6 linked regions of the Daphnia pulex genome follow. The protein of the gene in region 3 purifies or fractionates together with the protein of the main gene of each other region. This does not show direct contact. Links are inferred from orthologs where the notes say so. Each region holds a gene or a part of one and is shown on either strand. Other genes may lie near its edges. The genes, in order: nuclear cap-binding protein subunit 1-like; complement component 1 Q subcomponent-binding protein, mitochondrial-like; ATP-dependent RNA helicase A protein-like; heterogeneous nuclear ribonucleoprotein A1, A2/B1 homolog; interleukin enhancer-binding factor 2 homolog; endoribonuclease Dcr-1-like.

What was found.
Region 1: the proteins of ATP-dependent RNA helicase A protein-like (region 3) and nuclear cap-binding protein subunit 1-like purify together in Homo sapiens (co-immunoprecipitation; 3 studies listed by BioGRID and IntAct, with this or other methods). This does not show direct contact. The link is inferred for Daphnia pulex from reciprocal best matches to the Homo sapiens genes DHX9 and NCBP1.
Region 2: the proteins of ATP-dependent RNA helicase A protein-like (region 3) and complement component 1 Q subcomponent-binding protein, mitochondrial-like purify together in Homo sapiens (affinity purification with mass spectrometry; 3 studies listed by BioGRID and IntAct, with this or other methods). This does not show direct contact. The link is inferred for Daphnia pulex from reciprocal best matches to the Homo sapiens genes DHX9 and C1QBP.
Region 4: the proteins of ATP-dependent RNA helicase A protein-like (region 3) and heterogeneous nuclear ribonucleoprotein A1, A2/B1 homolog purify together in Homo sapiens (affinity purification with mass spectrometry; 4 studies listed by BioGRID and IntAct, with this or other methods). This does not show direct contact. The link is inferred for Daphnia pulex from reciprocal best matches to the Homo sapiens genes DHX9 and HNRNPA2B1.
Region 5: the proteins of ATP-dependent RNA helicase A protein-like (region 3) and interleukin enhancer-binding factor 2 homolog fractionate together in Homo sapiens (co-fractionation; 5 studies listed by BioGRID and IntAct, with this or other methods). This does not show direct contact. The link is inferred for Daphnia pulex from reciprocal best matches to the Homo sapiens genes DHX9 and ILF2.
Region 6: the proteins of ATP-dependent RNA helicase A protein-like (region 3) and endoribonuclease Dcr-1-like purify together in Homo sapiens (co-immunoprecipitation; 3 studies listed by BioGRID and IntAct, with this or other methods). This does not show direct contact. The link is inferred for Daphnia pulex from reciprocal best matches to the Homo sapiens genes DHX9 and DICER1.

The regions. Positions count from the first base shown.
Region 1 is NC_060022.1:6,378,315-6,382,579, forward strand, and holds the start of nuclear cap-binding protein subunit 1-like, read right to left. Parts: upstream 2,801-4,265; 5' UTR 2,677-2,800; coding exon 2,646-2,676; intron 2,581-2,645; coding exon 2,303-2,580; intron 2,248-2,302; coding exon 2,054-2,247; intron 1,987-2,053; coding exon 1,815-1,986; intron 1,755-1,814; coding exon 1,533-1,754; intron 1,473-1,532; coding exon 1,372-1,472; intron 1,311-1,371; coding exon 1,139-1,310; intron 1,075-1,138; coding exon 907-1,074; intron 847-906; coding exon 594-846; intron 535-593; coding exon 401-534; intron 335-400; coding exon 10-334; intron 1-9. Other genes in the region: uncharacterized protein LOC124196162, read right to left, coding at 3,669-3,856, 3,946-4,104, 4,195-4,265. UniProt on the Homo sapiens protein: Component of the cap-binding complex (CBC), which binds cotranscriptionally to the 5'-cap of pre-mRNAs and is involved in various processes such as pre-mRNA splicing, translation regulation, nonsense-mediated mRNA decay, RNA-mediated gene silencing (RNAi) by microRNAs (miRNAs) and mRNA export.
Region 2 is NC_060026.1:13,819,527-13,823,701, reverse strand, and holds complement component 1 Q subcomponent-binding protein, mitochondrial-like, read right to left. Parts: upstream 2,760-4,175; 5' UTR 2,700-2,759; coding exon of another isoform or gene 2,452-2,699; 5' UTR 2,378-2,451; coding exon of another isoform or gene 2,231-2,377; 5' UTR 2,174-2,230; coding exon of another isoform or gene 1,936-2,173; 5' UTR 1,614-1,935; coding exon 1,397-1,613; intron 1,335-1,396; coding exon 1,184-1,334; intron 1,119-1,183; coding exon 919-1,118; intron 862-918; coding exon 773-861; intron 710-772; coding exon 560-709; 3' UTR 501-559; downstream 1-500. Other genes in the region: uncharacterized protein LOC124203752, read left to right, coding at 1,936-2,173, 2,231-2,377, 2,452-2,699, 2,760-3,665, 3,731-4,175.
Region 3 is NC_060025.1:4,801,691-4,805,930, reverse strand, and holds the start of ATP-dependent RNA helicase A protein-like, read right to left. Parts: upstream 2,801-4,240; 5' UTR 2,372-2,800; coding exon 2,275-2,371; intron 2,201-2,274; coding exon 2,162-2,200; intron 2,100-2,161; coding exon 1,929-2,099; intron 1,835-1,928; coding exon 1,645-1,834; intron 1,568-1,644; coding exon 1,527-1,567; intron 1,447-1,526; coding exon 1,214-1,446; intron 1,148-1,213; exon of another isoform or gene 1,031-1,147; intron 851-1,030; coding exon 677-850; intron 623-676; coding exon 425-622; intron 360-424; coding exon 99-359; intron 33-98; coding exon 1-32. UniProt on the Homo sapiens protein: Multifunctional ATP-dependent nucleic acid helicase that unwinds DNA and RNA in a 3' to 5' direction and that plays important roles in many processes, such as DNA replication, transcriptional activation, post-transcriptional RNA regulation, mRNA translation and RNA-mediated gene silencing.
Region 4 is NC_060019.1:11,840,388-11,844,359, forward strand, and holds heterogeneous nuclear ribonucleoprotein A1, A2/B1 homolog, read right to left. Parts: upstream 2,801-3,972; 5' UTR 2,679-2,800; coding exon 2,574-2,678; intron 2,439-2,573; coding exon 2,296-2,438; intron 2,199-2,295; coding exon 2,078-2,198; intron 2,019-2,077; coding exon 1,808-2,018; intron 1,747-1,807; coding exon 1,465-1,746; intron 1,401-1,464; coding exon 1,275-1,400; intron 1,223-1,274; coding exon 1,091-1,222; intron 803-1,090; coding exon 741-802; 3' UTR 715-740; intron 586-714; 3' UTR 33-585; downstream 1-32. Other genes in the region: chromobox protein homolog 1-like, read left to right, coding at 3,417-3,535, 3,602-3,851, 3,923-3,972. UniProt on the Homo sapiens protein: Heterogeneous nuclear ribonucleoprotein (hnRNP) that associates with nascent pre-mRNAs, packaging them into hnRNP particles.
Region 5 is NC_060024.1:13,504,772-13,508,502, forward strand, and holds interleukin enhancer-binding factor 2 homolog, read right to left. Parts: upstream 2,421-3,731; 5' UTR 2,269-2,420; intron 2,203-2,268; 5' UTR 2,196-2,202; coding exon 1,866-2,195; intron 1,790-1,865; coding exon 1,621-1,789; intron 1,551-1,620; coding exon 1,370-1,550; intron 1,310-1,369; coding exon 1,189-1,309; intron 1,125-1,188; coding exon 1,013-1,124; intron 946-1,012; coding exon 793-945; intron 731-792; coding exon 561-730; 3' UTR 501-560; downstream 1-500. Other genes in the region: beta-sarcoglycan-like, read left to right, coding at 1-459; (Lyso)-N-acylphosphatidylethanolamine lipase-like, read left to right, coding at 2,978-3,048, 3,113-3,195, 3,260-3,469, 3,533-3,659, 3,719-3,731. UniProt on the Homo sapiens protein: Chromatin-interacting protein that forms a stable heterodimer with interleukin enhancer-binding factor 3/ILF3 and plays a role in several biological processes including transcription, innate immunity or cell growth.
Region 6 is NC_060018.1:8,404,954-8,409,123, reverse strand, and holds the start of endoribonuclease Dcr-1-like, read left to right. Parts: upstream 1-1,370; 5' UTR 1,371-1,505; coding exon 1,506-1,565; intron 1,566-1,666; coding exon 1,667-1,782; intron 1,783-1,840; coding exon 1,841-1,996; intron 1,997-2,063; coding exon 2,064-2,393; intron 2,394-2,507; coding exon 2,508-2,740; intron 2,741-2,835; coding exon 2,836-2,962; intron 2,963-3,030; coding exon 3,031-3,445; intron 3,446-3,518; coding exon 3,519-4,027; intron 4,028-4,085; coding exon 4,086-4,170. UniProt on the Homo sapiens protein: Double-stranded RNA (dsRNA) endoribonuclease playing a central role in short dsRNA-mediated post-transcriptional gene silencing.

The sequences.
Region 1 (4,265 bases), on a different chromosome or scaffold from region 3:
TGTTCGCACCTCTAGATGGATCTTCATCAGATGATTCCGAATCAGATGGTGCAGCTCTGAGTTTAGCGCGTGCATCCGCCACCTCTTTCTCTAGACGGACGACGTGTTTGTTCATTTTGCGAATAGTCAAGTGCAAGACCTCCCAAATGTACGAACGAGTGAACTCGGGTGCCATGTCTCGTGAAAAGATCCAATTTGCTACGGCACAACACTCAACAATTTGTGTCTTTAACATCTTATCAACTACCACTCCTAAAAATTGTGGGTGGTGTTGCCAGAGCTCATAAACTTGACGAAGCATACAGATCTGTGCCTCTTCATTCTCACAAATATTCTATGACAGAAACGTAAAATTGAATCGTTTTATACTATCGATAACATTTCAATCTGTTGAAAATACCTTGAAGACTGAATGATATTTAGCGAGACCTGCAAAAGTATGCGTAAAACTCTTCGATCCCAAATGTAGCAGAGTCTGAACAAATACTTCAATTGCTAGAGGATTGTGTGAAGGCTCCATATCCCCGTCGTCATCTAATTACAATTGCATCAAAATGGCTTGAAGTTATACATATTGTATCCACCATATTTACCTTTGAGAGGATTCGGTAGTTGCTGGACCAACTCTAGTACTTCTTCAGGCGTTGGCTTTTTTCTTAGGAGCTCAGTCAAAGTCTGGACTTGAGCAGCCCCAGGAAAACCATTTCCTCCTTCAATTTGGTATTTAAAGTACGGTTCTGGTTTCGGGGGCAACAGCGGTGAGTAACATTCAGGCACCATTTCAGTCACGCGCTTGTGATAGGAGAGTCTCAAACATTTCCCGAACACTTCAGAAACAAATTTTGCCTGAAATTTAAGTGTTCCTTTAGATAGATTTCGAAAAATTTCATTTTTTTAAACATTTACCTTGGGGTGGTCTTTTTCGAGTGAAAGACAATTCTGCCAGTCATCCCAACTCCAGCGGAATTGAAAGTTACTGAGATGGTAAGAAAACCAAGAAACGAATCTATCAAAGCAGGTGGCATTCATGGTATCAATTCTTTCGTAAAGCAACTCCGTAGCCTGTGCTAACACCTGGTTGTGAAATAAAAAGTCAAATGAAAATGTTCAAGTTTCTACTGTAAGATCATATTTTCACCTGAGGCATTGTACTTGGTTGAAGCTTGCAAAGTTCTATCAAAGTACAACCATAAGCAATCTCCAAGTAACGAGGGGAAGGCATTTGGAAAAGTTCTGAGAAGAGAACTTCAACTATCATGTATTCCAAAGGGATCTTATTTCTCTGTGGGAACGCCAACAATTGGGTGGCTCTGAAAAGCAAAATTAATTTACTATTATCTGCACAAACGTTTCTGTCAAGTTGAAACTCACAGTTCCTTGCGTTCGTTATGATGACGAGTGATGATCTGGTGTAAATGTTCCTCAATCAAGTAACGCTCTACTGAATGAGTTCCTGGTAAAAGTGGACCAGCCTGAAAATGAGTCCCGAGTTAAATACGCACGATACACACTTTTGAAAGCGTTTAACTTACTTCTGGACAGTCAGTGTAATCAAACATCCTGAAAACAACCCATGGTAGCGGATATTGCGTACTAGCTGTGTGAGGCGGAGGTAGAATGACCGGGAGATTGTGTTGCAAAGCTTCAGAGAGGATAGAATCAAAAGCTAAATATGGACGGTAAATGTGTCTTTCCTGCCACTCGTCTGTCCGCAATTTCCGTACTTGAGCCCAAAGACATTCCAGGTATTCTTCCTAGAAAGAACGTTTTTCGAAATTTTTCAATTATTATTAAAATGCCATGCCATTTCTGACCTGTGGGTGCGGAGTTTCACAATTCCAAACTCGAAGAGCAGCGACATGAGCAGTATTTCTTCTGCGAAGATAACCTTCCATTGCTGCCATTATACGTTCAAGATCATTTTCTTTCTTTTCAAAAAGCTCTCGACCAACCCAAGGAAGCGCCGTCAACAACGCATACATGTACCTGTAAATTGATACAGTGTTGTGATCTACATTACTCTTGCTTTAGAATAAAACAAAAATTTAATTACCAGTCTCGTCGAACCTGAGGAACTCCTTGTTCCATGGCAGCGTCAATAAAACTGTCATATAACTGTAGCAAGGAAGAGGCAGAGACTATGTGACAGTTGACCATGTCAGATATGAAACGTACAATTAAACGAGCAGATTCCCATTGCCCCTCACGGAGAGCTTCTTTTAGGTTTCTCACTATTTGTTCCACAAACTAAAAAAAGATATACTTGTATCTTAAAAACTGAAAGTACAATTTTAAAACAAACCTCTCCTCCAAAATTATAGTTTTTAGCATTCAGAAGACCAACTAATGTGCTGTAGATAGTACATTTCTCTGGCATTTGGATTGGGCATTCCGACAAAATACGTAATATTTTACTCTTGTACGTGTTCAAATCAGCTTCTAATACTGAAGCAAGCCCTTCTAAATTGCTTTCTAAAGATGATGACGTTTTGTCTCCAACCCTGATAATAAGAGATTCTAACCGGTCTTCAATTTCTGCCTGCTCCGAGACAACTCTGCGCCTTTTACGATACCCATGTTCTGTAATTTTAAACAAATAACTTTTTATAATGTCATCAAATTCTTCAATAAGTTGTAATCCTTACCATATCCATCATCACGTTTCCTACGACTCATTCTTTGATTTTATTTTAAATTGGTCTACGACGCTTACAAGACAGACAAACTACTACCACCCTGTTTGACTGTTTGTCATATGGAGCTATTAAAGAAGCTGTTAATTTGACGCCATCTATTGATGAAATCATAAACTTCGATGATCGTGAAAATAGTTTACATAACTTGACAACGTAGCTGTAAAAATTGTTTATTTTAGGCAACGCAATTTGGCGCAAAAATTCAATTCAGTTTATATTCAGCTGAATTGAATTAAATTCACGCAAAAATGGGATTTGTTGAATTCAATTTAGGTGAAATTGGCTACGAATGTCGGACGATTCGGCAAAAACCATTTCGGCAAATCGCCGAAAACCGTTTCGGCAAAGTTGCCGAATTGTCACCTATGAAATTACCGATTCGGCAAAAGTCGATTCGGCAACTGTGCAAATGTAAATTGGCGGCAAATACTGTGGAACCCAATTAACCCCACAACGTTAGCTAGGGCTGTAAATCGGGTAAAAGCAAAGCGCACTGCTAAAAACCCAATTGATCTTTTTTTTCAAATCAAAATGGACTTAATGCCCACTTCGTTTTTTAAAGGAGAAGTTGTAGTTGGTTCTAAACGTCATTTAATTTTCATGACTGACGAACAACTAGCGCTTTTGAAAACTGCCGTTCGATGGTATGCCGACGGAACCTTTAAAATAATAAACTTCCCTTTCACTCAACTATTTTCCCTCCATGGTTTTCTAAAAAAGAATGGGCAGTTAAAGCAGGTTCCACTTTGTTTTGTGTTTATGTCGGGAAGGGCTCAAAGATCTCTCGGGAAAGACAGTATAATTCGCGTGTTGGTGGTGGCGCTGATTACCCGAAACCCACACAGCTAGCGCCACTGGCCTTACAACGGCATTTTAAACAATTTTGCCGAATTGGCTTTTTACCGAATTGGTATGTACGATTCGGGAAAATAACAAAGTCAACCAATTCGGCAAAAACCAATTCGGCAAACGTCAAATTTGCCGAATCGTCCGTATACCTTGGCTACAATTCACAACTTGGCTCGTAGTGCAAACTGTGGATGGAATGGAACGAACATCAGCTTGATGAGCGGCATTGATTAAGCCTGCAGGATTGCTTGACACACAATAACTGTCATCCGTTGAACTAGTGGATAGGCCTACAGATTCCGCTGCATTGACTACAATACAAAAAGAAATGATTAAAACGAAGAGTGAATAATAAAATTAATGGTGAATGGAAGTATGCTAACAACCACATGAGCCATACCTGGTAAAGAATTGTTCGTACTTGAGTCTCTTGTACGTGTGCTCTCGGCCCGTTTACGGCCCGCATTCACACTTTTCTCCACAGCAGGATTTGTTGTTGATGGGACACTACTGTTATTCACTGAACTGGTGGATAAAGATTCCGCTGCAATGACTACAACTTGAATACAAAAAGAAATGATGAACAATGAAGAGTGAATAATAAAATTAACGATGAATGGAAGTCTGCTAACAACCACATGAGCCATACCTGGTAAAGAATTGTTTGTGCTTAATCTTTCACCATTTCCCTGGCTGTCACAGAACCCTTTTTCAGTTTCT
Region 2 (4,175 bases), on a different chromosome or scaffold from region 3:
TTTCAATCAAGAAAAGTGCTCTAATTTGTTAATGATCTCTGCTTATCCTGCCCAATCTTCATCTACAGTTCAAAGGTACAAGTGTGGGACACACAAAGCTCTTAAAGTATGTTAATTGATTATTGTATTTTTATTTTTCTAGGTTAAATTTGTACCATGAATAGTGTAAGTGAAGCCTGTAGCCAATTGAAGCAAAATTATGATGCATGTTTCAACACATGGTTCACAGAAAAATTCTTAAGAGGGGATCATTCAACAGACTCATGTGGTCCTTTCTTTAAGGTGTATCGTGAATGTGTTAGGGTAAGTTAATTTTGGTCCAACATTTCTGTCTTTTATAGATGTTTATCTACTCTTTTCTGTTTTAGAAAGCAATCCAGGAACAGAATATTGACCTTAAAGAAATAGAAAAAGAAGTAATGGGGACTGAAAATGAATTTAAGACCCCTGATGGTTCTAAATAACCATTGTTTTGGAAAACCATAAATAATAAATCAGCATTTTAAACAAAATGACTACATAGCTTTTTATTTTTCATCTCAAAACTATTCTAAACCTTTCATTTGCCTTGGACAAAAGACTGAAGGCTCTCTAACAAATTAATAAATAGATGGTGTTCCCGCTTGGTAGCTAGATCGCTCAGCTTTTCAGCAAATTCGTTGGATACTCCTCGTTCTTCGAGCAGATTCATCAGAAGGTCGTACATGTACTATAACGAAAATGTGAAATATCAGTTTAATTTGGTTAAAATATTGTTGACTTTAAAATATACCCCATCAAGAATGTCTCCAGCGACAGCATAAGTCTGATCATTATGTTTGTCCTCATATACTGCAAGTTCATCAATAGTGAAAATGTCATCTGAAAAAATCGAGTGTTATTTATATTGTTGGCTATTCAAATACAATTAACACTTACTTGGGGCATCTTCAACAGGCTCTCCTGCATCTTGAATGTAACTGCAGGCAAATCTGGTTACTTGATTTCCCTTCATTAGTTTGACTTCAAAGTGTGGTTTTGATTTCATTTCAGCCTGGGGAGGATTGTCAGCTTTGTTGTCAACTTCCTCACTGATGTCAGCATCAACAGAATGGTTGACGTTAACTGTTATCTCAATTCTGTTTAATGAATAAAATTAAGCCACAAGTTTCAATTTAGAATTGTCCCATAAAGATTTACTCACTGTTCATCATTAAATTTCTTAGACAATACTATCTCTGAACCATTGTGTTTAACATCAAATCCATCCAAGTTAGCGACAGGCCTGGCTTTGCTCATTCCCTTCTTCTCAGCAGCAATTTCCTCTGAGAGGAACTCAATCAGCTCTTTGTCCCCTATGATGCAACATATATTATGCTGTATTTAAATGTGACGTGAAATGGTTAAAATGTATTACCTCTTGTATGAACTCCTCTGCATTCTCCACATGGGCAGGAAGGGCTCAGGGGAGTATGTTTGAATGCTGGAGAAAGTTTTGTTGGGACAAATTGATTTGTGGGATTAGACATGTACCACAAAGACCTGGTAATGGGTTTCGACAGGATAGACCTCATGGACGCCGGTAACGCATGGCGTGAAACGTTTCGAACGACATTTATCACCGAAAATGACATTATGGGAATGAGATTTTGAACTTTAACAGAGTCTTACAAATTGAGATTTTAAAGAATGAATAGAGCGAACGAAGATGAACTTTATCAGCGAATTAAATAATAATTCTGCAAGGGACTGTGGTGCAAGAGCAAGACTGCAAGTTAAGACAAGAATCTTCTGGCAAAAGCAGAAGCCACGAGGAAATATATCGATTATCGAGTTTTTTCCACTATCGATTAATTGTTGTGGGTTTTTGTTTACAACTTAAACTGAACTCAAACTCCCTCCGAAACTGTGAAAACAATAAAAGGAATATTTAGTTAATATTCAATCGTCTTTAAGATGGGACCTCGTAACAGATGTTTTCTGAGTCCATATTGCACATCTGTTACATCGGGTAACGGAAATGAAAAATACTTTAGTATGCCAAGTATCCCAAAGGTAAAAGCTGGGCCTATGTGTGAATTGACAAAACAATTAATCCAAAAGAGACGTTCTTTGTGGTTGAAAGCATTGGGTCTTACTGAAGCTGATACGGAAAGAGAACCAATTTTAGTTTGCTCAAAACATTTTGTATCAGGTATGTTAGATAGAATATGTGTGAAAATAATTTGATCATATTTCAATATCTATATAGGTAAACCTGATGTAGGTGTGGATTGGGTGCCAAGTTTAAACATTCCGATTCCAAAAATCATACCTGTTCCACCCCCCACAGAAGAGCACAGTTACTGTCAGTCAACAGTGCCACCAACTGCTTACCAATGGAAGACAACTGTTTCAGGTACGATAGTGTCTAAGTCATTATCACCTTTTTCAACCTTTGCTTTGACTACAATGTTGTAAATTCATGTATAGTTAAAAAAAAAAGATTATTGAGTCAGAGGCGTAGTCGTCGTCTACCAATACTTAAAAAGAAAAAAGAGAAGGCTATTGAAAAAGCCACGAAAGCAGAGAAAAAAGCCAAAGACATCGAGGTAAAAATTCGAGAAAAGAAATGGAAGAAAAAGAGACTTGCCATAAAAAAGGCAAAAAGAGAAGCAAAAATTAAAATAGCAGAGAGAGAAGCAGCTCTTTTATTAAGAAAGAATAATAAAAAAAACAAGGTATAGACAATTTTTTGTTACCTAGAACTTCACCAAATAATAACAATGTTTAAAAATCAGGTGCTGCCTGAACCAAATGCAAATCAAATTGAATCAATCGATATGCAACTACCCTCTGCTGAGGATCATTTCGACACGTCGTTTACGCGAATAAGTGAAATTAGTAAACAGTTCAACACATCAGGAAATGACTCCATCACAACCGAAGTTAAAGATATGTCGAATACTCTACCGCCTGTATCAAGCATTTCACCAACAGTATCCAACGGTCATCTGATAATTTCCGGACCATCCGCTCAACAACAACACGTCGAGGCAAATTTGGTTGTTGCGTCTACGGATAAAGTTACCCCTTTGGCACCATCTGTTTCAAAGAACGAATTTCTGCAGCTTTTATCGTTAAGTCAAATCGGTCAAGGTTCAGGAAGAAAATCGACGCCTGTCAAAATTGCGCCAAAAAGCAGAGATAGCAATGCTCCTAAAAGAGTAACTGAACCATTGAAAAACACCGTGAAACTTCCCTCCAAGATTTTGATTGTGAGAAAAGATGCATTTGATAAAACTTCGAGAACCGTGATAACGCTAAAGTCATCATTAAATACTCCGCCTCACATCGTACAAAAGAATGTTGGAAAGATTGTACAGCAAATCCAAGCTCCTCCTTCTTCCACGACACTCCAGCAACAACCAAAACTCGCGGGAAACTCGACTCCGACTATTAAGTGTAAAGCTTTTTCTTCAACAGATCCAGCCCTCAAAACCAACGTAGCTGAACCATTAAAAATGCTACAACCTGCTGCCAAGACTTTGATTCTGAAAAAAGGTGAACCTGCTAAAACTTCACCAACTGTTGCAGCACAAACAAAATCTGCAAACCCTTCCTGTCCTGTATTGCCAAAAAATACGGAGGTCGTATCTCGAATGGAAATGATGGAACCATCATCGCCAGCTCCTCAAAATGGACTAGTAATTTATTACTGTAGTTGCCTCAGTATTTCTTTGCGATTTTTAACGATTTGGTTTTTCTTTAGATATCTCAAAATCTGCACAACATCGATACTTACATCCGAGACCTGATGCTTAAAAAGAACCCCACCGCTCAGGACACTAATCTGAGTTCTTTATTGCTGAATCTAATTAATCATCACCAGAAGAACATTTTGGATTCGGGAAAACCAGCTGCTCAAGCCCAAGCCCAAGCTTCAACTGCTCGAGTCACTCGCGATAGTGCAAACCACGAAGTTGTAGACCTAACTAAGGACGACTGTGACTATATTCTCCCCGATGTTGCTGCCCCAAACAATTTACGCCCAACTTGCAATTGTCGCAACTCCGTTGAGGAAGTAACCTCTTTGAGATACCAACTAGAACAAAAATCAGTTGCATTGAAGGCTTGTAACAGCGATATAGATAATCTGAAGAAAGAGCTTTGCGAGGCAAAGGAGTACATAAGTAATCTGGCAGCACAATTGCAAG
Region 3 (4,240 bases):
GTATCGCGTTCGTGAACCTCATCAACAATAACCTAGATATTTTAAATAAGCCATTATTTCCGGGCGTTAGTAAATATGGTAAACATCACATAACGTACATGAGATACGCCTTGAAGACCCCGTTCTAATCTCCGGAGAAGTACTCCAACAGTACAGAAGAGGATTGATCCGTATGGACGAGGCAGTGTGCTTTCAAACCGGACGCTAAATCCAACTGATTCTCCCACTTCTTCCCGACGCTCCGACGCTACACGTTCGGCGACGGATATGGCTGAAATTCTTCGTGGTTGCGTTACAATAACAGAACACTGGGCGCCTTCCTTACAACGTAAATAATCGTCCAGAATGTACTGGCATACCTATTTACAGAAAAATTGCTATAAAAATAATTGCATCCTAATTTAACTTGTGGTATCACGCTGACCTGTGTTGTTTTGCCAGAACCCGTATTACCACGAATTACGACGACAGAATTATTGTAAAGAGCATCCATAACATCATTCTTGAAGGCATAAATAGGTAAAGATTTGCGCTCTTCTAGTGCCTTTTGAAAATTCTGATCTGATTGTAAAAGACGCTCTTGTCTCTGCCACAAGTCTTGACTAATCGTATCCAATGAATTCTAAGGGGGAAAAATTATACTGTACATTCAGAACCGAGATAATTTGAATAATACCGTGGCGTAATATCCTCGTTCGATTCTACTAGCGGTCCATGTGTTCCAGTTGGCAGTAGGAGGAGACCACGGAATGTCAATTGACCCATGGCGGGAATCAATATCACCAAGGCGCATAGATTTTGGTGCAAGTCGCTCATCCCACAGAGTTTGCGGTTCGGATAAACCCTGTTTCTAAAATATACCAAAAACTAATCGTGAGCTTTGTTTTCTAAAGCAAAGACTATCGTTTTCTATGATAATTATAAATGTAGATTGAACAACAAAAAAGATCTCGTTCGCAAATAGTACCGCCATTCACAATCTAGTTTCTGGCGCACCAAAGTATAAAGGATTGTAAAACACATTTTACTGTTTGTCCTTATCAAGTGGGAGGCCTATACTCAATGAACGAATGGTGAGAGTATTGCTGCTGAAACCATTAACAACCAACGTACCCGGCAATTCGTCCACGGTACAATTTTTGGAAAGCCCTCCTTACTTAACAGGAGGGCGAAAGAAACCTTATAAAAACTACAATGAAAAAATAATACATACTACTATTTTAGGTAACAGACGGTGTTCCAAAATGGTGCGATTGAGTTCCCTCTCCAATTCATCGCGAACAATGACGGTGAAGGGTCTGGTTTCCAATTGGTTTTTTTTGCTACCACTAACCAGAGACCCAGCCGGTCCGATAAATTTCATTTGGAATAATTGTTGGACGATCGAAAGGGCGCAAGCTTTAGAAGCCAGAACCTTTGTACAAGCTCTTTCACGAGCATATATTTCTAGAATAGATAAACATTTAGAATAGATAAACATTAAGTATTAAAATAAGATAAGTTTAGGGCAAATGATTTCAATTTACCTCTGCCACGGAAGACAAAATGAAGTTCGGCGAAAAAACTCCTGTAAAAATATTTAATTTTTTGTACCTGTCTAGGTTAATTCAAACACGCCCAATTTCAAGCATTAACAATAATTACTTTTGATGATCAGGCCCATAAGATTGGTACACATAATCTGTTTTGATTCTATTTTCCGTTAAAAATGGATGCAGTTTAGCTTTCGCATTTTCTACAGAGTATCCTCCAGGATTGAATGGAGCTGCTTCCCTCCCTAATCGGGAATCTCCATCTGTTCTCTGAACATGTCTTCCACTGATGACTGTGTTACCTTTTCCATGAAATGTTGACATTTTGACAATTCAAACTTTGCTGTGTGTACATGTTATATGTATTAGGATTATTTATCCAAGGAATGTACATACCTGAACATCCATATGGTCCCATTTGTTTTATTATAGTAAGTGTATTCCTATTTGGAATTTCTTCTTCTCTCATGATTTGTTGGCAAACCAAATGTGCAACAAAGCTGTTGGCAGCATTGGCTTGGGCATTTCTTTTCGAACTTGACCTTCCAGTTGCAACAAAACTGAATCCTTGAATGAAAAACCAAAGAAATGTAATTAAAAGAAGATCCACACACTTGTATAGTGCTCACCTCTCACACGCAGCTCACAGTAGTATCCACTCTGATCTCCTGATGACACAGCAAAAATTAAGCAAATCATTAGACCACTGCTGTTTTATTCTAGACTGTAAATATAGGGTTACCCATTGAATTAACGACGTAAACTGGTGGAATTCTAAACTTTTTCATCAGGTAAGCATACAAAAACTCTTTAATATCTCGTTCCCCTTTGTTCTCCATCTTTTCTCAAAAATGTATGTATATCCAAGAATCGTTACAAGTTTGAACCACTAATCACTCTTCAAAACACATTAAATAGTTTGATAACGAATTCCTTCTTAACCGAAAACTACAACTGTCACAAGTGTAGAAAAGATCAAAAGAAAAGAATGCTTTGATTGTTCTCTAGAGTCGTCTGCAAGACTGCAAGCAAGTCAGTGTTTAGGGTTTAGGGCTAAACAGCAGAAGAGAGTGGTGAGTTAACTTCCCTCCCTTCTGCTTCTAGTTCTCCTTCTCGTTCTAGTAGAGTAAAGAAGGAACCACTGCCATGTTAACTCCCCCCTCTCGGAAATTTTCTCAGAGTCGAAGCTGTTCCCAATATCGCGACCGATAAGTGAAAAACGGAGCTAAGATATCGATATTGACACTAACCCTACCTCCGCGTTGCCCTACCCCTCGGCTACTCCCAACACCCTCTATTCCCGCTGCCCTACACACCGCTGTGGCGCCTTTCACGAAGCGTCTGGGCAGGCTTCTAGAGAAAAAAAGGCAATGGCTTTTGGCTTAGGCTTATGGCAATGGCTGAAAATGACAATGAAGGGCTCTCTCATCGCGCTCGCCAAATGAGTGGTTATGCCAGTATTCTATAGAGTCTCCGCTACTAGGCTAGTCTGAACGAGGCCATAATTACCCGCCCTTGTTTCTGATATGATTAAATAGTTAAAAATAGAGGGGGAAATAAAAACATATCACATAAAAAAAAGTATTTTAAAAAATTTATAAAAGGTCGGACCTATTCACCTATAGAGTTATAGAGTTGCAAGGGCGCTGCACCTTAGCCGTCATTGCTACAGATATATCTAATTAAAAACAGGGAGGGAAATAACAGCATGTAATAAGAACAAAATTATTTTTATTCATTTAATAAATAAAAATAAATAAATAAAAAAAGTAAAAAAAAGGTAGGACCTAGAGGAAATTCGCGAGCAAAAGCGAGGGGTCGGATTTTCTGGTCCTATATAGGGATTGCAAATGAACATGCTGAGAAGAAGACCAAAATCCAGAAAAAGCTGCCGAGGCAACACAGGCATACCTAATCAATCAATGTAATTAACCTTGAAAAGAAGGGATAATATCAAATCCCCCCCCCCCCCCGAGCTGGTGTTATATTCTCGGTAACCTGTTGTTACTTGCCAAAAAATCGATTACTGTACAGTTTTCGACTAAGTCGCTAGATGCAGTAACATATGATTGCTTCCGGGGAAGGCTACTAATTTATTGACGAAGGTCTAACACCAGTCTCTCTCAACACAGAAGGTTATAAAAAAAACTAAAATTATACGCTGTCTGTTCCGGGTTGTTCAACAGTTTTTCATTTTTTTTTTTTTTTTAATCGAATCACACAGAGCCTTCTGATGCATTGAGGTATTTTAAGTTTCTTAGGAAAGAGTAGACGAAGCCAGAGCATTCACGCTTTCATTTAGCGGCAGTGGGATAGCCACGTTATCAGTTGCGGGAGCCGGGGCAGCCAGGGCTGGAATAGAAGTCGCTTCACGGGTTCGTTCGTTGGGAAACTGTGAATGGCCCTTTGACCGCCTTTGACTAGAAAATGGTGAGTTCAAGAGCTTTGAAAGCAAGGGCCTCCTTGTCCACCCACAAAGGCACAAACCATCAAGATTCTTTTCTCTGAATTTCTAAACAGTTCAATAAAATTACAGTTTAATAAAATTTACAATTGTCTTCATCATTCTTAAATTGAAATATACCAATTGAGTTTATAAGAAGGCTCCAACGGCAGCTGGTTCATGTCTTGCCACATCCTGTCTTTAAATATCACGTTAATTGAAACGGAAATTTTAAATTTGAAACTGATTATCTGAATTGAAGCCA
Region 4 (3,972 bases), on a different chromosome or scaffold from region 3:
GTAAAAACAAATAATGCACAATAACAGCAGAATGGGATCGATGAAGTGTATTGATGATGAAAATCAAAAATTGAGTGATTTAGATTTAAAATTCTCGCGATTCGGCGCACACCTACACGTATTTGACATGTGTCCAATATGATTGGGAGAGAAAATCAATGGTCGGAGAGCTAATCGCCAATAATTAAGCCAACGAGACGATAAGCTAAGCAACTACACATCCATTTAGTTGTAAAAAAAGGGATAACTCAAACACGTGGGTGTTAAAAAAAAACTGAAGAAAAAAAAATGTAGTTCACATGTAGAAAATGAAGAAAACGACGTTAAGATCCATTTACGAGAAGGGGAGGGGACAAGGTGGCAGTTGGCGACGAAATCTATATCACACTGCCTGAATCTTGCATTCTAAGTGTCGATCGAAGCTGCTATCCTGTCCGAGGTTTAGGATGTTTTCGCTAAGCGTTAGCGGCCTTGTTCGGTACTGCTGGTTGGCTGATAGTTGTAACTGCCTTCACTTAATTGATGAATCTTGGACCTGGCTCACTGCTCCTGTTCTGGTTTGGCTACAGAACAACATGACGACACCTAGGAGATGAAACGCACATCTTATCCTAACCTGTCTCCTTCCAACATTCTTTATCTCTTCAGATTGCGGCTCAACTTGTCCCTATGAAACGGGCTAGAAGGCCTGATGGTAATAAACCTCAAACTTACCTAGAGGGGAAGATGGGACTTGTCTACTAATAACGTCGCGAACCCCCGTAACTGGGGCTACCTGTAAAGCCACCACCTCGCCCTGCACCTTTTGAATCAGAAACAGATTAGATCACCTGTCAATCCGATTTCATGGAATCATAACTGCAAGGCCTTTAAATTCTCGATATTTCATCAAGCACAGAAATTTGCAACTGCATGACACATTCACATTACTAAACGCATCCCTACTCGGCTTTTCATTTCTGATTCTAGCCTTTACATTCAATTCTTCCTTGTCCAGTGAAATTGTGCTCAATGACGAGGAAGTTTTTACTTTCAATAGGAATCTAAAAAAAAGTTAGAAAATGAGTTCAAATAGTTAAGACAACTTTACCTCCATAGTCGCGAGTGTATGGCACTGATCGTTCGGTTACGTAGCTATTTCTCACTGGACCGCCTCCTTGGTTGAAATCTCTCATGTTCCCTCCATAGCCATTGTCATAATCACCACCCCATGAGTTACCACCTAAAAGTTATATTTTAATTAATGTTCAAAATATTGATAAAGAAATACATACCTGAGCTTGTTCCATAACCTGGGGAACCACCACTCCAACCAGCGCCACTACTTTGATTGCCACCCCAGTTCGAACCTTCCCATTGTCCATTACCATAATCTCCACCGCGACCTCCACCATTTCCTCCTAGTTAAAGAGTAGATAAATAGATTAAAAAGTGATAATAAGTCAATTTTATTTAAAAACTTACCTCGATAACTACTAGATCCTCCACCAACCCAATGATCTCCATTGCTCCAGCCCCCACCAGAACCTCCTCCGTTGCTCCATGAATCCCGTCGTTCCCACAAATCCCCGCCTCTGTCGGCGTTTCGGTCACCTCGGCCGCTATCTCGATACCCGCGGTAATCACCACGACCTGAAGGTGACGATCCAGGAGAAGGACCGCCACGCTTCATCTTATCCATATCAGCTTTGCTGATAGCTTTTTTAACATCTAAATGTCTTCCTTTAACAGTGTGGTCACGAATCACTAGAACACACAAGATTTTTTTAGTTACAAGATACCAGAAAAATGTAGGCCATGTACTTACAAACAACTTTGTCAACTGGATCATAATCATCAAATTCAACAAATGCAAAACCTCTTTTCTTGTTGGTTTCTTTTTCTGTAACAACATTCACTGAGGCGATTGGACCAAATGTTGAAAAGTACTTTTGCAAGTCCTCTTCTTCAACATCATCCCTCAGACCACCAACAAAAAGTTTTTTGACAGTTGAGCTTGCTTCAGGTTTGCCTATCAACTATTTAAGAAAATGTTAGACAAATATTTAGAATAGAATCAATAGTAAGACAAACTAACATCTCTAGGGACAGCACGCTTTGGCTCAACCTCTCTGCCATCTACTCTGTGAGGTCTTGCTGCTTGGGCTTCATCTACCATGAAAGCTCGGGCATATGTTACAAATCCAAAACCACGAGACCTGAAAGAATCATTACCCCAAATTAATTTTCATTTTAACATTAAGAACACTTTATCAAAATAGCATTCCAAGGTATGAAAGACTGGTATCAACTTACTTCCTCGTCTTGGGGTCCTTCATTACAACAACATCCACAATCTGGCCCCATTGTTCAAAATGTTTTTTCAGGGATTCATCAGTTGTGCGATAGTCAAGTCCACCAATGAACAACTTTCGAAACTGCTCAGCTTCAGGTTTCTCCTACAAATCAAATAGAATGTTTGTGTCATTTAAATAAACAAGGAACTTAAAACTACGTTTCACAATACGTCAAGGGTCGCAAAACTAGGGGTTCCATCATCAGCAATTTTATTTATTAATAAAGCAAAATCTAACCTTAACGGTGTGTTGTTCTGTTGCTGGTGGTTTAGTTTCTCGTTCTTCTTCTTCAACGACCGGCTCAGGCTGTTGCTGCTGTTGTTCTTCGGTTTCGGATTTCATTTTTCGACTAACCAACGTGTAACACAAGTACGCCGGGATTGCTCACTTCTTCTTCTTATGCTTTGATCAAAGCGTCATCCAGCAAAGTCGGAAGGGAAGGAACAATGTTGCCAAATTTTGTCTCGATTGCAACGTTGCCAAGTTGTACGATTTCCCAACAGCAATCAGTATTTATTTTATTATTTTTTTCTTCTAATTTGATTATGTTTTATAAAAACAACTAGAATAAATAGCTGGAAAAATTTAGAATTTGTTCTTGTATCTTTTGGACCACTTAATATTTTTATCAATAATTATTTTATTTTTTTTATTAAGTGCAAATTTGGCGCCCTTTTCTCGCTCTCCTTTTTTCCCCTTAGAGTCATGGTTTCCTACTAAACGCATTTCTTGTCGGTTTGTTACAGACTTTTCAACGTTTTTTATCACGCGAATTAAGTTAAGGTAATTGAGTTTGGTTCCATCAGCCACAAAATATTTTTGAATGCCCAGAAAACTACACTTATTTCATATCATTTGCCCATGCCAAAATAATCTATTATATTTATTATATTCGATTGTGGCGGTGAGAAACGTCTATGTAACCAAGCTCGTGATTAATCCCCTCAACAAAAATGTCTATTTCTCGTGTGATCAGACTCCACTGTGGCCGTGATATATAATCTTTTTATCTGTTTATTTGCAGATAAGTCAGCTCTTTTAGAAATTAGTATTTGTGAAAAAAGCTACACAATTTCCAACATGGGCCGAAGCACAAAAGGGAAAGAGAAAGAAGTTTTGGATGAACAAACTCCTGCTACTCCAGCAACAGAAAGTCCTGCTGAAGAGGAATACTCTGTTGAAAAAGTTATGGATAGAAGGTATATATAAATATTTATATTGTCGTTGATCATTATTGACCAACAAATGTCATCTATCAAATTCAGAGTACGAAATGGCCGAGTTGAATATCTCCTAAAGTGGAAAGGCTACGATGATGATGACAATACCTGGGAACCTGAGGAAAACCTAGACTGCCCTGCTTTGATTTCAGAATTTGAGGAAAAAAGAAAAGAAAAGGAAAAGGAAAAAAAGAAAGAAATTGACAAAAAAGAGAAAAAGCGTTCACTCCCAATTGAAGAACGTGACAAAAAAACCACAGAAGAAAAAAGACCAGCAAAGAAGAAGACTTCGGAGGTTTGTGGAATTTCACGACAATAAGTTGGCTTTGGTTATGATCATTTATACGTTTTATTTGTGACTTCCAGGAAGAAAATCGTCCAAGAGGGTTTGAACGAGGACTTGACCCCGAAAAGAT
Region 5 (3,731 bases), on a different chromosome or scaffold from region 3:
ACAACCCCAAAGACTAGCGCATTTTCTACAACTTTTCCTAATTTCGGTTTGCCTAAAGGTGTTTTGAACTTACACATCAAGAAAGCCACGGCCAACAGGATTACTAGCAAGTTGGAAGGCTCCTTACTTATCAGATCAGAGAAAGCCATTCGCGTGAAAGGCAAAGAGGGAATGAGGATCCGGGGCAAAGAAGTTGTAATGAGAGCCGACCAGGATCTTCTGTTGCGCAGTATCAATGGAAGCATTATTTTAGACGGATCTGATGGCGTAATAATGGATGTAGACGCCATGGCCGTGACTGGGAGACTCGAAGATCACAACGCAACAAAAGTGGCTGAATACAAGTTGTGCATCTGCATGCCAGCCGGGCAGCTTTTCCGAATCCCTGTTCTTGAAAGCACTGATACAATCAATTGCGATTCCGTTGATCTCACGGGCGATGATAATCCCTGCATTTAACTCTCAATACTCATAACAAATCTGTTTTTTCTAGTCATTAATTGAACCGAACTAGTCATTGTTGTTCACACCGAAAGTCAATACACGGAAACATCAAATCTTTAGATGGCAGAATCGGCTTCTTTCTCTGTTGTAGGGGCTTCAACTTCTTCAACTTCCTCATCTTCGGGTTCCTCGCCGGTTTTCCTATCGTATAGTGTTGAATCGTAGACACTGTCCTGAGGAGTGACGACGATGCCGTTCCATACAGACAATTCAGCAGTAGGGTCCACTAAAGGAAAATTTGGAAAATAAGATTGACGCGTCAATGAATATAATTAAAAGTTGAAATACCATTTTTCTGATCAAGACAGAGAATGGCGTTGTAGCCTCCATGAGAAAGGATCCGTAGGAGATTCTGGGCGGTACGACAAAGTAAGTCTTCCTGTTCCATCGTCATTACCATGTGAACGCGAATGGCTCCCACCTCACAAGGATCAAGTATTCCTAAAGACAAATTGAAATAAGAAATCTCGCATTGGAAAAATGCAAACTATTATCCTTGTCTACTTACCACAAGAGCCCGGGAGAAAGAATCCAGCTGACAAAAGTTGAATGACACGACGGAACGCTAGATTGACGGACAATGCTTGTCGATTAGGGGTGTTGAGTACGCTAAAATGAGCCTGTGATTACAAAAATATCAAGTTAGTAAACTCTGAAAACCAATAAATAGAAACTGAAAGTTACCAGAAGATCGATCATCCATGGGCTCAATGGTTCAAGTCCTTTTATGCGTGTCCTCATATCACGTAATAAGCGAATCAGGACTTTAACTGATGTGTGGTTAACATTTTCTTCGAACCATCGGCTGAATATTAATAAATGTTTAGCGAAACAACCACAGAAGAATTTGAAAGAAAAATGTTACCTGTGTCGGACGGCAGCTAAGTGTGACTGGAGATATTTCATGTCTAGATGCATTGATGAGCTGATGAGCCTAAAGTTGCGGCCGATAGTTGTAATTAAAACTCGAACGACCGCTTTTGTATTTTCAGGCGGAGTCACGCTGAGAATGTTAAAACCTCGGTCAGTTATCTCAAGTTCATGATCTGAAACCAAGTAAACATAATTATTTAGAAGGAATACACTGAATACACTAGTACACCAATAACAACATACTTATTTGTGCTTGTTGCTTCTGCACCTCCTCCAAGATTTTGGCCCCAAGGGAACGAATAGCTTCATGTGTTGGAAGAGTTTTCAAAATGACGACAAGATCAGCCACATTGTGACCGCAGACCATTGTTCCCTTTTTAAAGGATCCAACAATCCTCACTTCTTCCAATTGCTGAAATTAAATTCAAAATCACAATAAGTGGTGGTTACTTGTCAGGCACAAAAAGTCATAAAAAATATGCACTTACGCAAGCTTCAAAGGATCCTGGGGCCACAGTAAGTCCTTCAAGAATCCCCTGTACTTTGAGAAGAAGACACTGAATGGAAGTCTGCTCGTTGGCAGGAGGGACAAGCTCAGCATGCCGTTTCAACAAAGCTTGAGTGAGATCTTTATCATCAGGTTGGGGTTTGAGTCGTGGGTAAAATGATTCAGAAACAAACATATCAAACGGCATTCGAAGGATATGAGGACGAGGTTTAAAGCCGGACATATGATGCATTGGTCTTCCTCCCATCAATATCGGACCGGCCCCACCGCGCCGTAACATACGAGAATTTCGACGAAAATTTCCACGCATGATGATTCTACAAATCAGAGATGTTTGATGGAGACACAAACAACACTAGAGCTCAAATAAAAATACTATCAACCTCGTTTAATAACTTTTGCAAAAGCTACAATAAGACGACCAAATTCAAAGCAGAATCGACCTAGCAGACAACAACATCTACGAAATGTCGAAATGCCACGAAACTCAGCCGGCCGCAGGATGCAGTGGTCATGTGCAGAGCAAACGTAGCCTAGCCGCTGGCAAATAAAAAAAGTGAATAATGTACATATAAAATGTAACCACAAAAAAAATAATTTTAAAATTAATTAAATTTAAATCTCGATGCAATAAATCCAGTATACTGGAGAACTATTTATTGCAAACATTTGCTACTACAGCCATCTATCCACAGCAATAGCCACTTCCATTCAAAATTGGTTTGTTTACAATTTTCAAGTCAGCATTACGTAGCAATCCAATCATCAATAAAGTTGAAGCAGACGAACTCAAGGTGCTGCAGATTTATAAAAGAGAAAGAAAACTGTACGTCCGAAGTTCGTCGAGAGATAACATATTTACAGCACAACGAGCAGATTGTAATACGCTTAAATAGTGTTCGTTCCTTAAAATCTCGTGATTTTTCAACTTTTAAAGGTTTTGTCTAAGCTCGTCAGACAGTCCTTGATTCATTTGCATAAATAGTAGCCACATTCGTTTGGCGGTCTCTACATAGGCCTAGAGTAGGAATAAGCTGTGTCATCCTATTACATAACTATAGTTTTTCTGCTGGGAATACTACAGAGATTGTGATGGAAATAGATCAACAGACTGTTATTGAACAGGTTACTCCTGGAACTGTAGCTGAAGTGGATAATAAGTGGTATGTAAGATACGAAATAAATCATAATTTTAATCTTTAGCCCATTTCATATACTTTTTGATAGTTGGTGGAGTGTAAGCAATTACATCCAGTGGTGTCCAACATCAATGTATCACCTTAAGCGAGCAGAGAGCAGAATTCTGAAAGGTAAAGTTGGCACTTTGCAGTTAGTCACCATATTCACTATTAAATTAACTGTATGATTGTTTAGTTATCAAGACTGCATACGAGGCAAAGTATGTCAATATTGGGAAGTGTGTAGGAGGCACTGAGAACAAAATATGGACCTTGATGCTCAACAAGGATGCAGAAAAAACACCATTGGTAATGCTTCACGGATTTGCTTCGGGTGTTGCATTGTGGTGCCTTAACCTTGATACCCTTGCAAGAGAGAGGCCTGTTTATGCAATAGATCTTTTAGGTAGACATTTTTACATTTTTGTTTAAGATTACAATCGTTTCATATGATGCAATATTATTCCAGGTTTTGGTTCCAGCAGCAGACCACACTTTAGCAGTAATGCCTTAGAAGCTGAGTCTGAAATGGTGAAATCCATTGAAGAGTGGAGAAAGCAAATAGGATTGGAAAAATTTGTGCTGCTTGGTCATAGGTATAAAGCAATACTGATGCAATTATCAAATAGTACTCTGTAATTGTATTTCACTATAGTATGGGAGGGTTT
Region 6 (4,170 bases), on a different chromosome or scaffold from region 3:
TATAGAATTTTAGCAAGGTCTTAAATATAATGGGTTGTTGTAAAATGTGACCTTTAAACTGCGTAATATGCTTTAACCAGAGATGGCTTTAACAACATTCCTACTATGTTACATTTTTCGGTTTAAGCAACCGTAGTGTGTGGAAGGCAATGTGAAGGTATATTAAAAATTTGAAAACCGCTGCTTGAACCAGAAAACTTATAGGGGTGCGTAACACGTGAAAACGCTGTTGAAAAATGGAAAACAATGAACAGTCTAGTTATGGTGAATGATCTTTCTGCGGTCGAGATTACTAGAGTTATCATAAGTTATTTTACACATTAATTGGTTTATTTTCCTAGCCTTAGCTATTCTTATCTAGCGACTAGTGTATTATTATTTAAAAAAAGGCCAATGGGTGTCCGCCTTTGGGATTTTGTTGCTGCACCAATAGACAGTTGGGTGATTGCCCTTGTATCGTTGTTATCCAAAAATGTTGAAACCGGATTTTTCTTAATCCAACCCGATTGTGACTTTAACCCAAAATATTCAGAAATGATTGATATGATTGTCATCGGTATTTTGACTAAACTATTCTTGGAAAGACAAGAGAAAAAAAAAGCACTCGTTAAAATGAATTAAAAATTAAATTAAAAACAGGAAACCAATGATAGAGATCTACAGTCCTACAGTTCATTTTCATCTCACGATCAATGACACATAAAATTGTATCCAAGTTGCCTTGTTCATTTTTATTTGCATTATCTTAGCGACCGATCTCGGCTTCAGCTGAATCCGATCGGTAGGCATACAACTACAACGTTCACACGTCCTCCTCAGACTGACCACACCAACCTCAATTACAGCGACCAGGTGCTCCGCAGTCGGCAGTCGTCGAATTCACATTTCTGTTATAAAACGTTAAAATTCGCAGAACGAGAGAAAACTGAAATGGATGTATAATAACAAGAACACTATAATTAATAAAAATTTAAAGTAGATGTGGGGAATGAAAACCCATGGTGATGCGTGATGCTGACGATAACATAACGAAGGCCGTTAGGCCCCATCATCTTGCAAGCGCGAACACCAACAATTCCGTATTGTTCGACATATCTAGAATACTAAAAAACAATTAAATGATTATATATGAAAAAATCTACGTATGATTTAGGTTTATATGCTTGTATGCTGTAGAGTTACCGATGATATCTAACATCGTATACAACTATACATTCTTTAATAAACAATCAGACAAAGTAATGATTTAAATATGTGTGTCTTTTCCTCGCTAGATGAAGCAAAATTCCCCTTCAGGGTTAAATCAACCCCCCGGTTAACCCTGCAAAAGGGAGTTTCACGGCCATGTGATATTTTAATATGGCATCGTTGTTTAAGTCATCCTCATGCTGTAAACCTGTAAACAAAAAACTTTTTACATCTGAGTTCTGATGTTCTTAAGTTGTTACTAAGCTTCAGAAATTTTCTCGAGTTTCCTCTTATGTCCATTCGTTTTATTCGCTAAAATGTTACCTCAAATGATGGATTTATCATCAAATGATAATTTTACTCCAAGAGATTTTGAGGTTTGTATAGGATTTCCATACTATTGTTAGACTTATTCTTTAACAAATTTATATTTGATTGCCATGTTTAGTTAAGAAATATTGTTTATACATTTTTTTAGGTTGAACTTTTTGAATCTGCAAAAGTTAAAAATACTATTGCATGTTTAAAAGCTGACTTGGGTAAGATGTTCATTGCTGTAATGTTAATTCGAGAAAAAGCTTTTGAAGTGTGCAAGTAAGTTATGAAGTGATGTAAAATTTTAACTCATTAATTTACTTACTGTTTTAATTAGTTCTCTGCTCTTACCCAAGGGAGGTTTTTGCTCAGTTTACCTTACCCCAACAATCAAATTGGCACTTCAGCGTTCAGCTTACTTGCGCCATCACACTCCATTGAAAGTAGGAATTTTTCATGAGAAAAAAGGTGTATTGCAGTGGAGTTCTGAAAGGTAAATTTTTATAGAAGTATTTTATGGATAAAATTAACTGTAAAACACTTAATATGTATTATTCAAGATGGACAGAGGAGTTGGGGAAAAGTCAGGTGCTTGTCATGACATATTCCATATTTCTAGAAGTCATCCACAAAAACTTTCTCAAAATGAACAAGCTTAATTTGTTGATATTGGATGACTGCCATAATGTTATGAACAATGAAGCTTTAAAAGGAGTTTTAACTCTCTATGAAAATGCAGCAAGTAGTGTACATCCAAGAATCCTTGGATTAACTGCATCTATTGTAAATAACATATGCAAGCCGATGGAACTGTCTCAGTTGATAACTATTCTGGAAACAAAATTAAAATCGGTTATTTCGACTTCCAACAACGTTTTGTCAGCCTTGCAGTAAGTATATGGTGATTAATTCATTTAGTGTGGGCATGATGAAGTCCAATATGCTATCTGCTTGCTGACTACTTTTGTGGAAAATTAACTCTTCTAATGTTTTATTTAATCTAGGCATTCAACTCGACCCAAAGAATTGATATGTGAAATATCGTCCAAGTATGAAGCCACAGAGCTGCAGCAAGAAATAATGGGTCGTATTCTTTTATTGAATGATTATCTGCGAGATCATCGATATGATCCCGCTGAGTACTATGGGGAACAAGATTATCTAAAAGAGATTCCTAATCCATGTCATGAACCTCTTGATCTACTTGAAGAATACATCCAAATCATTCAAAATTTTGGTGAATAATCACAAATATTTTTATAAGTTTTTTTATTTATTTTTAGAAGTTTACGTTAGACGATTTTAAAAATTAATACAATATAATTGACCTAGGTCCTTGGGGAGCAGACCGTGCTGCTTTGGTATACCTCATTCATTTAGAAAAATTGAAAACGAAAGCAGTTTATGAAAGACACTATCTTCTATTATGCCTTGTCTTCACTGTTTTACTTGAAATAAGGTTTGCGCTTTTAAAGTACACATTTCAACGTACTTTGTATACATGATATATATATATTTACTTTCTAGATCATTGTGCGAAGAAGAGTTTCAGAAATACTCTGAATATGAACGTATCGTGAAGTTTAGCCATCCCAAGGTTCTTCGCCTGTTGGACATTCTTCGGATCTACCGACCGCCGATACCTTCCGTGCTGCCCACAAGTGCTGAATTAGTAGAAGTAAGCGATTCTTTAGTTTCGTCCGAAGGGCAAACTGTTCAGACCCCAAAGTTGGCAACCGAAACGTCGCAAACCGCAGAATTAATTGAAAACGGTCCAGCGATTTTGCGTCAATCGACAACTCAACCAGGACACACTAGTCGACGGCGGCGTCCTGATTTCTCAAATCGCCATCACCGAAATCGAGAAGATGCTTACCAGCTCTGTGGGATGATTTTCACTGAAAGACGTACTACAGCAAAATTACTCTACCATCTTTTAAAGGTTCCACAACGACAAAATTCTCGTATTGCTATGTAATATTTAATGCCGAATATTCATTTACATTTTTTTATAGGATGCAAGTCGTTGTGATCCACAACTAGCTTATCTAAGCCCGTTGTATACGGTTGACCGAATGGAAGGCGTGAGTGTCAAAGAAATGGAGAATGAAGAAAGAAAGCAAGAAGACGTCATGAAACGATTTCGTAGTCGTGATTGTAACATTCTTGTAGCCACTAGCGTATTAGAGGATGGAATTGACGTTCCGGCATGTCATCTGGTTATTCGTTACGATTTACCACAATCCTACCGGGCTTACGTTCACTCAAAAGCTCGAGCTCGCGCTAAAAAAGCACATTACATCCTCATGGTCGAAAATGAGCGCATGGATGAGTTTTTAGTGGATTTATCTCACTTTCATGCAACAGAACAAATTCTGTTAAGTAAAAGCGGGTATCACAATTCGGTTGCTGAGTTTTTCAACCACAACGAAGATATGCTTAATTGCATTCAGGCTCCCTACCCTTCTGATGAAACTTCTAATTCGTATGCATCTTTGCAAAACGCGATTTCTATAATTAACAGGTATCACATACTTTTTTAATTCTGTAAAACTAGGTTTCATGAAAAATTTCTGTTGTAGATATTGCGCAAAGTTGCCTAGCGATTGTTTCACACGCTTAACCCCTGTGTGGAGGATACGTACCATAAAACGAGAATTAATTGAA